Linked DNA regions of Caenorhabditis elegans. The protein of the gene in region 1 interacts with the protein of each later gene in a pairwise test. Each region holds a gene or a part of one and is shown on either strand. Other genes may lie near its edges.

Region 1 (6,906 bases):
TGAGAGAGTTGAGCTTTCGGCGCAACATGATAAAATAATTGTACGACTGCCATGACAACTGAACAATTTCTTGATTGAAGTAGAGGACGAGCTGAGTTGAGAAGAAGTACAACATCCGTATCGGGTGGTCCTCTATCTGGATCCGCCAATTCATGTCTTGCATATCTAGTCAACATGTTGATCATCACAATTTGACCCCATTCGTCGACATCTGCCAAACCACGACATAATGCTCTGAAGTGTTTATGAAGAAGATCGAGTCGGTGTGGACAGATCTCATCAAATGCGTAAACAGCACTACCGAGTACTAAACTTCTTCGATCAGCGAGAAGAAAATCTATGCAATCGACAAGCTGAGGTTCGAGTTCAGGTTCCAGTGAGTATAGTTTTGGTATGGCATGTGCAGCAACTTTCCTCACGTATGGACTCATATCACGTACTGCATCTTTGATGGCTAAAAGCATGATTGGTGCGACCATCGGAACACGGATTGATGTTAAAACTCGGAGAGCACTTCCACGAATCAGTTGATTCGGATCTTTGAGAGCCCGTTGGAAAGTTGATATCGAGAGAAGTGCAAGATCTTGTTGTTCTTCGGCATATCGTACAAGATAAACAAATACCAACTTTTTCAGCTCCACATTTTTTGCTGCTACGTTCTTCACAACTGCAGCAAATAGTTCACTGACATCTTTTCCTTTCGCTATCAGCTGAAATTTCAAGTTTAGATAATTATAATTTATTGGAAATAAAATCTCACGTTAATTATTCGTTTCATTGCATCAACTTTTAGGTTATCTTTATTACTATCCAGCATGGCTTTTAGGTCAGCGAATCGTCTGAAAGTAGATATATTCGAAAAATGTTACGTACAGTTATACCTAAAATGTAACTGTTGAAATTTTTTAAAAAATAAGTATTTTTATTAGTCTTAAGTTAACAAAAAAACCTACGTCCTATTATCCAAGATGACTCCGCCCTCAGCAATTTCCATTTCAGGGCTGGTCAACCCTTCGACGAACGACGTCATCTGAAAATAAAATAACCTTATTTTTAAAAAAGAGAAAAAAATGTAATAAAATATTTGCAGTGTCGGAATGAACACATAATTCCAAAATAAAGCCAAAGGGATTTTAAAATAAATTTAAAATTTGTTAAAAGGTTTTATTCCACCAGTGAAAAAGAGATTTAATATGAATGAGAGGATCACGTTAAAGACCAGATTTTGAGATAATGTATTTTAAAGATAAAATGTTCAAATAATAGCAGGCAAGATGACAGTTATTGCCCGAAGCAACCAAATCCAAGAAGAAGATTTCGACGAGTGAAATGGAGTCCGATTACTGCAGTTTCTTTTGTTGCATATGATCCTATATTGAAACCGTCCAGATTCACTCTGAAATTTTGTAAAAATTGATTGAAAAAAGCTTGTAGGAGTTTTCGAGAAACTATATATTATGAGGACTTAGAAAAGACATTCTGAAGTGGAAACGCGCTCCACTGCCGAATAAATACGCCCCGCCCCCAAGCCATAGGTCTCATTAGGTATTTGGCGACAAAACCGTAAATTCGAAAGTTTTTAGTATTGCCGATTTCTCCGATCTTCAAGCATTTGTCCTGTTTTTAAGTGGTTTAAAAAAATGTTATGGCTAATTTGATGAATAAAATTTATACTTTCTTCTTTCTCGTAAGGGGATTTTTCTGCGTTTTCATAATATTTGTACCTGTATATTTCTCCAAGTATTTTGTTCCTAATTAAAACTTACTTTGGCTCAATGTAGGAATCATTTTGTCCAGCGGCGAGAACTGTTCCAATAAGAGTATCAAGTGAATATAATTGAATACTTGAATTTCCATGGGATACCGCAAATACACCACCATCACGAGAGAATGTAATTGAACCCTGAAATGAACTAGTAATATGATATTATCATTTTTATATTTCACTACCTTCGTTCCAGCTTGTTCCGTAATTTCAGCTGCAACTAATCTCTGGTATGCCAAATCCCAAATCATCAGATTTCCAATAGCATCTAACGAGACGATATACCGACCACATGGGGAGAACTTGACAGCGATAATCGAAGCTTTATGACCACTAAAAATGCGAACTCGAGTACCAGAACAAACATCCCATACTCGAACATATCTATCATCTGATCCTCCAGCAATATAATTACAATTTGGATGATAATCAATACATCCAACGTCTCCATATGGATCAGCGAATATTCTAAGTGGATGCATTCGATCTGTCGACCACATTGCAGCTGTTTTATCGGCACTTGCTGTAGCGAAATAGTATCCACGACTACAGAATTGAGCCTGTAATAGTTTTCAGATTAGATAATGTAGAACGTTGCGCTGAAACTTTATGAGACAGTTTTTTTATTAGTTAAATTCGATAATTTCGGATAATGATCTATTATTTGAAATAAGATTACCAACGACACTAAATATCTCAGTTAAAATGCTAGTTAAAATTATATAAATACAAACCTGCCAAACTACTGCTGGTGTTCTATAAATAACAGCATTCCTCTGAGTCTCCATACTCCAAAGTCGAACTGTTCGATCTCCGGCAGATGATATAAGAAGTCGTCGATCCGGTGAAAAATTGACAGAAAACACGGGACCACCGTGGCCTGTATACCTCACACTTGTCGTTGATCCTTGTAAATCAAACATTTGTGATTGCACGTTATCCGCAGTTTCAATATCGATTTTATCAAGAAATTCCATATCACGAAGCTTCTTCATCTTATTCATCGGATCCATTGCATTCATAACAATTGAAGAATCAGATAAACCCATTGCAATAAGACTTGAATCATCCGTAAAATCACATGAAGCCACTCCAATTGGTGCATTTACTGTTGTGTACATACAAATGGAAACGGGTGATTCAGCTGAAATGATGGCCATTTTTCCGACGTCTCGAAGCCAATTTCGTCGTTCCTCTCGAAGATGTTCGCTGATTGGTGGAAGAGGAATTCGGTCAGCTTGTGGGCAATGCTGGAAATAACAAGATATATACAAAGAACTATGAAAATTACAGAACAAAGGGAGAGGGACTCAAAAAACACACTAAAAAATTTTAATCGTCACAGCTACACCCTCAACCATTTAAATTTTGACTGTATTTTTCAGTGTATTTTTGCATTATTTTCAGGCCATTAGAGTTGCTCCAAAAGATACTTTTGAATATTTTTGAAGACTTCAAAAGAGTTTAGGTGTAGCCAAACATTATTTTTGGAAATTTATTCAGAAAAAAATCAACTGTTTTAAAATTAGATTTTTCAACATAACATGCCGATTAAAATGTTACAGCGATATGTTATCAGCAAAGGTGTTCATTTTTCGATTTTTCACAAAAAACAATAACGAAAATATTACGTTTTTCGGTTTTTGGGAAATCGAAAAATCTAATGATTTTGTTTTTGATTTTTTGAAAATTAGCTTAAAATATTGACAATTTTTTTCTCTTTTTTAGAAAACAATTATATATGTTCTTATGTTTTTTTTCATTAACATAAACAAAATTTGATAAACATTTTTAAAATTTCAGGGTAAGATGAAAATCTTTCCTTGTCAGTACAAAAAAATTCAAAAAAATTGTTTAAAAATCTTACCGTCTGCATTTTCTTTCCCATATCTTTCCAATCTTTTCCTTTTGTCTTCCGTTTTTCAATATTCTGCATCAATTCGTCTTTTAACACCGAAAACATCATTTTATGTCTTTTATCACTTTTCGAAGTTACTCCAAGAATTCCACCCATTTGGGTTTCTATTGTCGTTCGATTTGTGGATACTTCGTCAGCATCTTTAACGGATATTATTATATTTTTTTTGTATATAAAAATGAATACTTACTTTCAATACAAATATGTTTTGCAATTATATTCTTAACACCAATCACTCTCGTTTGAATTGATTCAAGATGTTTCAGTGTTGGCCTCGAAAGTCGAACAAGAAATTTATTTTCTCGTAAAATGTGAACATGTTCATTGGCTCGTAACGTCATTGCATCTTCGATTAGTGATAATTGATATACAAATTCCGAGAAACATTCAGGAATGAAAATCTTGAATCGATTGAAGAATATACGGGCAGTTGCGGCATGCTTTTCAATTAAAGCTATATAGCTGTGTGCAAATATAGGAAATAAAAGTTGACTGAATTCCGCTTGAACAACATCTGTACAATCGTTTGCGTGCTGGACAAATGTGTCGAATTCAACGGATATCGCTTCTCTGAAACTTTTGGTTTTTAAGACATTGGGCTTTGAAAAATTCAAATTTTGTCTATTTTGCTATTAAAAAAAATTATTTCTAAGATGAAGTGGCGAAATTTGAGTAGATTCATTAGACTTAAAATGATACCGAAAACCGAATGTATTATTAATACGTCTTGTAAATTTCCCAAATTTATTTAAATACCGGTTTTGAGTTTAGGGGAAAAGTCTATATTCGGCAGAAAATTACAAAATTGATTTTTTCGGTAAAAGTGATCTTTTCAGTCGATGGATGCACAACATTTGGAAAAAATTTTATTTTGAAATTACTGTGTGCACATCTACTGAAAAAGCATCTTAATCAACTGGTTAGCTTTTTTTTGAGAAATTTAAAACAATTTTGTGGGGTCATTTTGAGTCTAGCAATGCTCCAACCTTTTAAAATATTAATTTCTAGATACATTTTTAAATTGAAAAAAAAAACTTACTCTGGAGGTAATCCATTAGATCCTTCAACTCTAAGTACTGGTCCAGCTTCTCGAGTCAAAAGCTCTTCAGTTTCTGTTAAACCATTTCGTCGTAAGTATCCAATAATCATTTGAAGTGATTCATTGTTCATTGGCCGAGAAAGCAAATTATCCTCCATTGCTGAATTGTTGTGCGTGTTTTGAAACATTTGTGGAGAACTTATCGAATGACTACTCGAATTCTCGCTATCCATCAAGTTCATTCTCTGGAAAATATATTATTATGAGAAAATACTGTCAAAATATCAAATTTGATATATTTTTTTGAATTTAAACCGACATTTGTTAGAAAAATAATTGAGTTCAAAATGGTGTTTTTTTTTTCAAATATGTGGCCAATTGCAGAATTTATAAGTAGAATAAAAGAGCGAAGAAGAATTAATTCAAACGTCACTACGAACTTGTTGCCGACATGGTGCAGCAGAGCGAGATTGCAACTAACCTACGTAGGCATGCCTACCTTCGGAATTTCTGTCAGACCTTTTTGTAGGAGTTAAAAGTTAATTATCTATGAAAAAAAAACGGTGTTTGGGTCCTGTACTCCAAAAGAACTCTACTCAGTTTCTTTAAATGAAGGTACCCAATCTTAAATAATTATGATATCTCCCTTGATATCACTTTGGCAACTAACTAAGAACACTAAATATACAGTAAAATGTTATCGCTTGTAGTTTGTAGTGTAAATTTAACATTTTCATTCCAACTGATTTCAATACAACGATTAATAAATATTCGAATGTATTCAATTGTGCAATCAACAATATTTTGTTTGCTATCTTATCATTTCTATGTATCTGATAACGGAGTCGATTGCTACAGTGATAACTTTCTAGAATGATGAAAAAACGTAAAGTAAAACTAGGGAAATAGTTAATTAGAAATACTTACCCATTTTGAATTCAGCCGTTTTAATTTTTAATATCTAATGCAACGAAAATACGAATTGTTGTCCTAGAATGACGATTTCACACACACACAAACGTTGTCGAATGCATATAAAATTCAGAGGGACGCCGAGAAGCAGTTGAAGCCCAAGCGAGACGCAGAGGCGAACACGCTCCGTGTAAGGATCGATAGACTGGAGAGACAGATGCACACAGAAAATGAATGGGGGAGTGGAAGACAGAGAAGAAGAAGACGAGCATTGCTTGTGTTTCTACACATTATGGACACTACTACAACCTCGTCTTTAAAGAGTGCTGAGAAAAAGGACACTGATGCGACGCCAAGAGCCCATAGTCCTGAAATTGATGTTGAAGTGATCAAATCTGATTGCTCTACGCCGGAGAAACAGAATGGAGCAGTTGGAAATGAGCAGCAGATGAATAATTCAACTTCTACAAGGAGAACTGATGTAGGTTTTTTTTTAATAGAAAATGTTTTGTCGATACTGAAAAATTGAAGCTTTGCGTCTAGAAACCTAGAAAGCTAGATTCTTGAATTTCAGAGCAACAAAAACCTGTCACCACCTCCTCAACGTCTTCGTACATCTAGTAGTACATCTGACGGAACTGAAAATCTAATTTCCTCTCTATCATCTTGGGATTGGGTTACCATAGATGGTCTGAAGCTTCCCGCAGTGACACGTAATAAAGAACGTTATGTGGCTGTCCATATGGTCCAGCTGAAACTACTGAGCAAGTTCCCATCGGATATTCCACGTGACATCACACGAAAATTCACGATGGGATCTCACAAAATGACAGTAACAGAAGCATGGACATTCAATACAATTAACGCTGTCATTAGAAAGTTTGATCTTGGTTGTCAGTTATTTACGGCAAATGATGAACTTGTCAAACTGAATGATGTTCAAATGTTCTATTGGAATGTAAAGCTTTTCAATTTGAAACGTGTCAATGGGCAATATGAGACGGCTATTTCGTCAGCAGAGAATAATGTTCAACTACTGGCAACAGCGATGCAACTGAAGAAACAAGTGGACAGTGATATTCAGGTAATTTTTAAATGAAGAGTAGTTTTTTTCTTGAAATTTGCACTTCAAATCAGCAAAAGACCGAGTTCAGGTCTAATTGGGGCTATCTCTCATAGATTTTCGGCGTTTTTATCATATATTTTTCTTTTTGCTGAAAAACACTTCCCAAATAAAAAAATGTTCGAAATGAAATCGATAGATTTTTGACA
Region 2 (6,015 bases), on another chromosome or scaffold:
GCCAATTAAGCATTTTATTATCATGAAAATTCCAGAGTTGGATTTCTGTCCAATTGTGATGTGAAAATAAGCGGATCTGCGAATTTTGAGAAAATAAAATATTCAATTGACACGAAAAAACCATTTTTCAAAAAAAAAAAACTTACACGAAAAGAGAAAACTCGGTAAATTGGCATGAAATTTGATGGAAAGAACTCGTAAAAATTTAATAGGTACATAGGTATTCAAAATTAGAGACATTTAAAAAATTTTTTTCGAAATTCCGCGTTTGAATAATAAAAGTATAATCATATATTTAAAACATTTATTTTTTCACTAAAACCTTTCTCTGTTTATCGAATTTTTGAGATTTTCAGAAATTCAAATACTATACCAAAAAAAAATCAAAAATTAAACTGCAATGTGTATGAAAAAATTCTTAAATTTTCTTTATTTTCGGTTGTTTAATATATATTTCAGATTGCTAGTAATTGATAGAAATTATTTGGAAGCAAATAATGCCTATATGGAAATGGCCATCGGAAATGCACCTTGGCCAGTTGGAGTAACTCGTTCTGGTATTCATCAACGTCCTGGATCTGCAAAATCATATGTCAGTAATATTGCTCACGTACTGAATGATGAAACTCAGAGAAAGTACATTCAGGTTAGAATTTCCATATTCTTTTGAAAATCTCAACTTTTAAACATTATAGGCGTTCAAACGACTGATGACCAAAATGCAAGAATATTTTCCAACGGATCCATCGAAAAGTGTCGAATTTGTTAAAAAGGCTGTTTGAATTCTCATTATTTATCTTGTTCAATTGTTGTTTAATTATTTATAAGTTAAAAAAAAGGAATTTATTTTCTTTTGCAATACACAACGATTATATACATATTTATCTATGGTACAGGATATCACAGCGTCAAAATGTTCAATAAGATATATACGGATGTTTCAAGAAATAATCCATTCAAATAATGAAACAGTCAAGTTCTGATATGAAACGAGATCAAAGAGGTAGAATCCAAAAACCGAAATTAACACATTAACCCATTGGAGCTGGAGGAGAATGTTGAGGTGGAGTCGTCTTATGAGTTGCTTGGATTAGTTCGTCAAATTCAATTATATTGAAAAGTGACGTCACATGAACTCCTTCATTCATTAAATGTGTCAAACTCTGAAAATTCAAAATATTATGAGTCATGCGACAAAAAAGGTCTCGACACGTTTTTTTTGTAAAATACAAATGGGTGTGCGTCTTTAAAGAGTACTGTAATTTGAAATTTTCGTTGATGTGGATTATTTCCGATTTTTCATAGTTTTCGGTTAAGAAGATTTTTATTTTGGCATTTTTTAACATTAAAAAAATTGTGTAAGAACTATTAAAAACTGAAGAAAATTCTGCAGCGACGGAAGTTTGAAATTACAGTACTCTTTAAAGGCGTACACCTATTTCTATTAAACAAAATATTGTCGCGTCGAGACCCGGTGCCGTAATTTGGCAAAAAATCGAATAATATGTGTTCTAAAAACATACCGTAATTGCGGAAAGCATAATCATAAATTTCGCGATTCGAAGAGTTGCCTGAGCTGATGTGGTACATTTATTTGCACGCCCATAATTATATAAAGCTGATAAATATTTTTCACGAGCCGCCGAAACGATTTGCCGTCCAGCAGCACTTAGTCCGGATTCTGAAATATTGTTTTCATTGAAATAATGAATTTACAAAAAGTATTCTACAGTAACCTACCACTCGAAAAGAACATGATACATTTGATAAGTACCATTTCAGCATCATCCATTTGGAAATTATGCATTGGATAAATGACATAGTTCAGATAACGAGGCATGCATTCTTTGTAGAATTCCGTGATACTGGAAATACAGTAGATAAAATGCCGAGTACGGAAAATAAAACAAAAATGAAAAAGGAATATTGTCAATTCCAATTAAAATAAAGGATATACTCCGTTCATATTTTGGTTTTTTTAAAGATTTTTTTCTAGATTCTCGAATCAGTTTTACTTACCTTGGATGACCTCCTTCAGGAAGATGGGCGGCTCCATTTGCAAAACAAATTCCATTGCAACCACTCTTGTATGAGTAGTAAGCATGAACAAGCCATCCATGAAGTATAATCTTTTTCTTTGCCAAAACAATCTGATCTTCAGGAGACAATGCCTTGAATTCATCCATTGCATGACACCAATCAGAATAATAAGTGAAATGACGACGCCATCCGTCAATAAGATCTTCTGGAGTTAATACTCGAGTATTCGAGAATCGCATTGGATAACGGTTACATACAAGATGAGGTTGACGGAATACGACCTAAAATTCCTAGTTTGGATCAGACACTCTAAATCTTTATAAAACAAACCTCAAATGGCAAAGTGATTGGAGTTTTTGTTGCATTAATTGAATTATCAACAGCCACCGGACAATTATAAAATACTTTTTGCTCAATGTCAAGAACTGCAGAATGAATTGAAAAGTCCATAGGAACAGGCAAATCGGATGGAGGTGTTGAGATTCTTTCAATTTTAAGAGGCAATAATCCTGGAGGGGTTGGGTTTTGTTGCATGTTTTCAAAATCAAAATCATCGTTTATTTCAAGTTTTCCATCAGTCTGAAAATTTGAAAGTTTGAAAAAATTAGAAAATTAGAATTGAAACGATTACTCAATTTTTTTATAGTTTTCTAGAAACTCTAAATGTCAAAAATCGTTACCTGAGTCGTTTTTTCTACGGTTTCCGGTCTCAGTCTCTTTCGTTTAATCTGTCCATTAGAAATTGTCAATTCTTTGCATAAAGAAGACTGAGTTGGAGATGACATTGGTCCACCCATCCCTCCATTTTTAGCATTACGATCACGTTCATTTTGTACAGCTGTAAAAATAGACGATATTGGGATTGTGAGTTTCCAAGTTGTTAATCAGAACTTTTGTATGTACAACCTTAACGTCTCCGAAAATACGAGGATAAATGAAAAGAGAAAACACAGGGCTCCGGGTTGAATGTGAAGTTATTAAAAATTAAAACTTACAATCCGGATTCATTCCAACTTCAAAACATTTCTTCAATCGACAAGATCTACAGACATTTCGATGTTCCTTTACAACCGGGCAATCTCCTCCAAAACGACAAGAATATTGCCTCCTTGACCACACACTGAAACAGTAAATTTTAAAATTAAATTTGTTCGATTCATTAATACCTTCGTCTGAAAAAACCTTTACACCCATTACAAGCATTAATCCCATAATGTTTTCCGAACGCCACGTCACCACAAACATCACAAATCAAGCGACCCCCGTTTGAGGTTTCTGGCAGACCGTTGGACGTTGATGGAGAAGTGTCAGCTGAAAATGTTCAAGGTTTGAAATTTTTAAACTTGATTTAAATTTGTGACGATTACTGTAGCCAATTTTTTTTATTTTGAAAGAAGTCTGTCAACATCTCAGTTCAATATACAAAAATAAGCAACAATAATTTTTCAGTTGGTGATTTTTTAATAAAACCAAAGTCAGTTGAGATGTGAACTATCAAAAGTTGGTAAGGTGTTCAGCGCTTACCTCCATCATATTTGTAGTCGTCTATTTGTTCCAATTTAAAGAATGCGTCAAATCTCGGATCCACTAGCATCCCTCGTTCATTCATTTACACTGAAATCAAAAATATGTTTTGCTTACTTCAAAAGTTTTAGACAAAATTGGAACAGACATATAAAAATTGTGAAGAAACTAGTGATGTGAAATAAAAGAATAATTTTGATCTTAATTTATATGAAGCACGTGACAAAATGGTTTCTTCAAAATGAAGAAAAAATTAAAGCTATGTAGGTTGTAGTCGCACCCGTTTTGAGTTGTCTCTCTCCCAACAAGTAATCTTACAAAACGAGCCGCCCGTTTCCATGGCGAATTCCTCGGAGGCACGGGGGCTCATTTGTGAGGTGATATTGACGTAGATTGCTCAAAGAAAAGAGGTGACAACTATCATATAATGATGAAGATTTGGATATAGAAAAAGTGAGAATGACTAGACTTTATGTTACGGAGAAGTGAGTTCTGACCGAGTATGAAACTTTGGTGACTCATTAAAAAAACGACTGAACAGCGTGGAAATGAACAAAGAATGGAGTGGGTGAAAAGTTTAAACAAACATGTCAAATCTTTCCAAAATGGATAAAATAGTGATAGAATCGGTGAAGAAAAGAGAAGAAATAAGAAGAAGACGAGGATGAGGATGAGACTGTAGTGAGAAAATGTGATGAATTGATGAAAAAAGCGTGACATAGTGTAGTTCCAATGCGATTTTGATTTAGATCAGTGATTTTCAAGTACTACCTTTCTAAAAAAGAGTTAGAAAAATGATTGTTAAAGTTTTATTTTGGAAGAGTTCATATGTCTCCAAGGCTCTAGTTGTATTCCAAACAATCAAAAATTCCGTATTACCTCTACTAATATTGCACCCGACTACTGATTGGTTATATCTCGGTGCATTTTGAAGATTTCCAAAAATTAATTAACTACAAATCGATAGAAAAAGAACTTTAAAATATTTTGTCAATAGACAACTTAAAAATTTGAACCCACGACAACTGAGATACAAACTTTAAAAATAGAACCCATACTAATAGTAAGAGAGAAAATGCGGTAGGTGGTGGTACTAGAAACAAAAATGATTTTTTTCCAATAGATAATCCCCGAAAAATGCTTTTTGTTACCTTTTTAGGTACAAAGGTCTTTGAGGACGTAGAATAGGTTTTCTCATACAATTCAATTCCCTTACTACTATATTCCTCCACAATGACCGTTCATTATTTGATTTTCTTTGGTTTTATCAAAAAGTGATTCATTAGAGAAACATAGGTTGAACCGTTTTTCTAAGGCTAATTAGACAATCGTGATAAAAATGATGGCGCTAGAAAAATCGGAACTATAAGGTATGTTCAATCATTTTATATGGATTATTTTTAAAACCTAAACTATAGAATTAAACTGTATTTTGACCATAGTCCAAATAGTTTGTATCGGTAGCCTGAAGCACGAGAAAAAATGTCGTATTTGGTCTTAATTTTGACCACATCGAGGCACCCAAAACAGATACAATACGCACCTTTCTCACACCTAATATATTAAAATTGTTACGGCGAGACGTGAACGTGTTCGCACTACTTGGCGATAACAACTCGACAATAAGAAGCACGTGAACTCTCGAACTCGCTTATTATTATTTCACGTATTATCCACATGTACATTCCTTGATCGAATCTATCATATTCGATCATTCCTCACTATTCCTCACTATTCTATCATACTCTTCTGCTTTCTAATAAAGCTTCTTCTATTATTAATACAATTGAATATATAACATTGGCGATCAGGATCTTTCGGGCTCACTGCACCACTGGCTTCATGCACATGTCTACTTAGAAGAAAAGACCTCTGAGGTATTGTTTTGATCTACACATGTCTACTGGGAAGAAAAGACCTCTGAGGTGGATCAGGTCAGCTTTGGGAAGAGGCACCTGCCGTGCTCTCTGCAGTTGCAGTCAAGGTGGACAGGAGCGGCTTCTGGATTGAAGTCGAAAAGAAGAAGGAATCATTGCTCAACTCTTTTGAAGATGCGAGTGAAGGCCACCTATGCGTTTCAAATGCTCAGTCATTGGACGATTGCACAAATTGTTATTGGTCATAACATGATCCACAACCAGGAACTGGGATACAACAGGTTGATGGTGGAACAGGCGGAATCAGTGTGGATGATTCAAGGTTGGGTCTAATATTCAGGCAGCAACGTTTTTTAGTCTGTTGGTGAAGGTTGGATAGACATCAAAAATATTTCGATTGGTACGGGAAGTGTGGCTAACTTGGAACCCGCAATTGGAGGATGTGAACACCGAAGTACCGTGTGCAAAGGATTGGCAATATCGACGGTCACACTGGAGGGTGGTCCGTGAGAACCTCAGAAGACATCGTGGATGGCTCCTCACCAAAGCTCTCGTTTGTCATTGAAGAGGGGAG

The links.
Region 2: the proteins of taf-5 (region 1) and nhr-4 interact in a two-hybrid assay, tested with the Caenorhabditis elegans proteins (one large-scale study listed by BioGRID).

What each region holds. Positions count from the first base shown.
Region 1 is NC_003279.8:7,847,874-7,854,779, reverse strand, and holds taf-5 (Transcription initiation factor TFIID subunit 5), read right to left. Parts: upstream 4,968-6,906; 5' UTR 4,956-4,967; coding exon 4,723-4,955; intron 4,254-4,722; coding exon 3,874-4,253; intron 3,824-3,873; coding exon 3,633-3,823; intron 3,016-3,632; coding exon 2,500-3,015; intron 2,326-2,499; coding exon 1,951-2,325; intron 1,904-1,950; coding exon 1,767-1,903; intron 1,397-1,766; coding exon 1,282-1,396; 3' UTR 1,144-1,281; downstream 1-1,143. Other genes in the region: apb-3 (AP-3 complex subunit beta), read right to left, coding at 1-710, 761-839, 954-1,030; F30F8.5 (MATH domain-containing protein), read left to right, coding at 5,927-6,115, 6,209-6,718. UniProt on the Caenorhabditis elegans protein: The TFIID basal transcription factor complex plays a major role in the initiation of RNA polymerase II (Pol II)-dependent transcription.
Region 2 is NC_003282.8:9,876,968-9,882,982, reverse strand, and holds nhr-4 (Nuclear hormone receptor family member nhr-4), read right to left. Parts: upstream 3,655-6,015; 5' UTR 3,650-3,654; coding exon 3,565-3,649; intron 3,352-3,564; coding exon 3,207-3,351; intron 3,161-3,206; coding exon 3,036-3,160; intron 2,879-3,035; coding exon 2,721-2,878; intron 2,620-2,720; coding exon 2,371-2,619; intron 2,322-2,370; coding exon 2,020-2,321; intron 1,866-2,019; coding exon 1,741-1,865; intron 1,682-1,740; coding exon 1,524-1,681; intron 1,164-1,523; coding exon 1,032-1,163; 3' UTR 831-1,031; downstream 1-830. Other genes in the region: prp-18 (Pre-mRNA-splicing factor 18), read left to right, coding at 460-646, 696-782. UniProt on the Caenorhabditis elegans protein: Orphan nuclear receptor.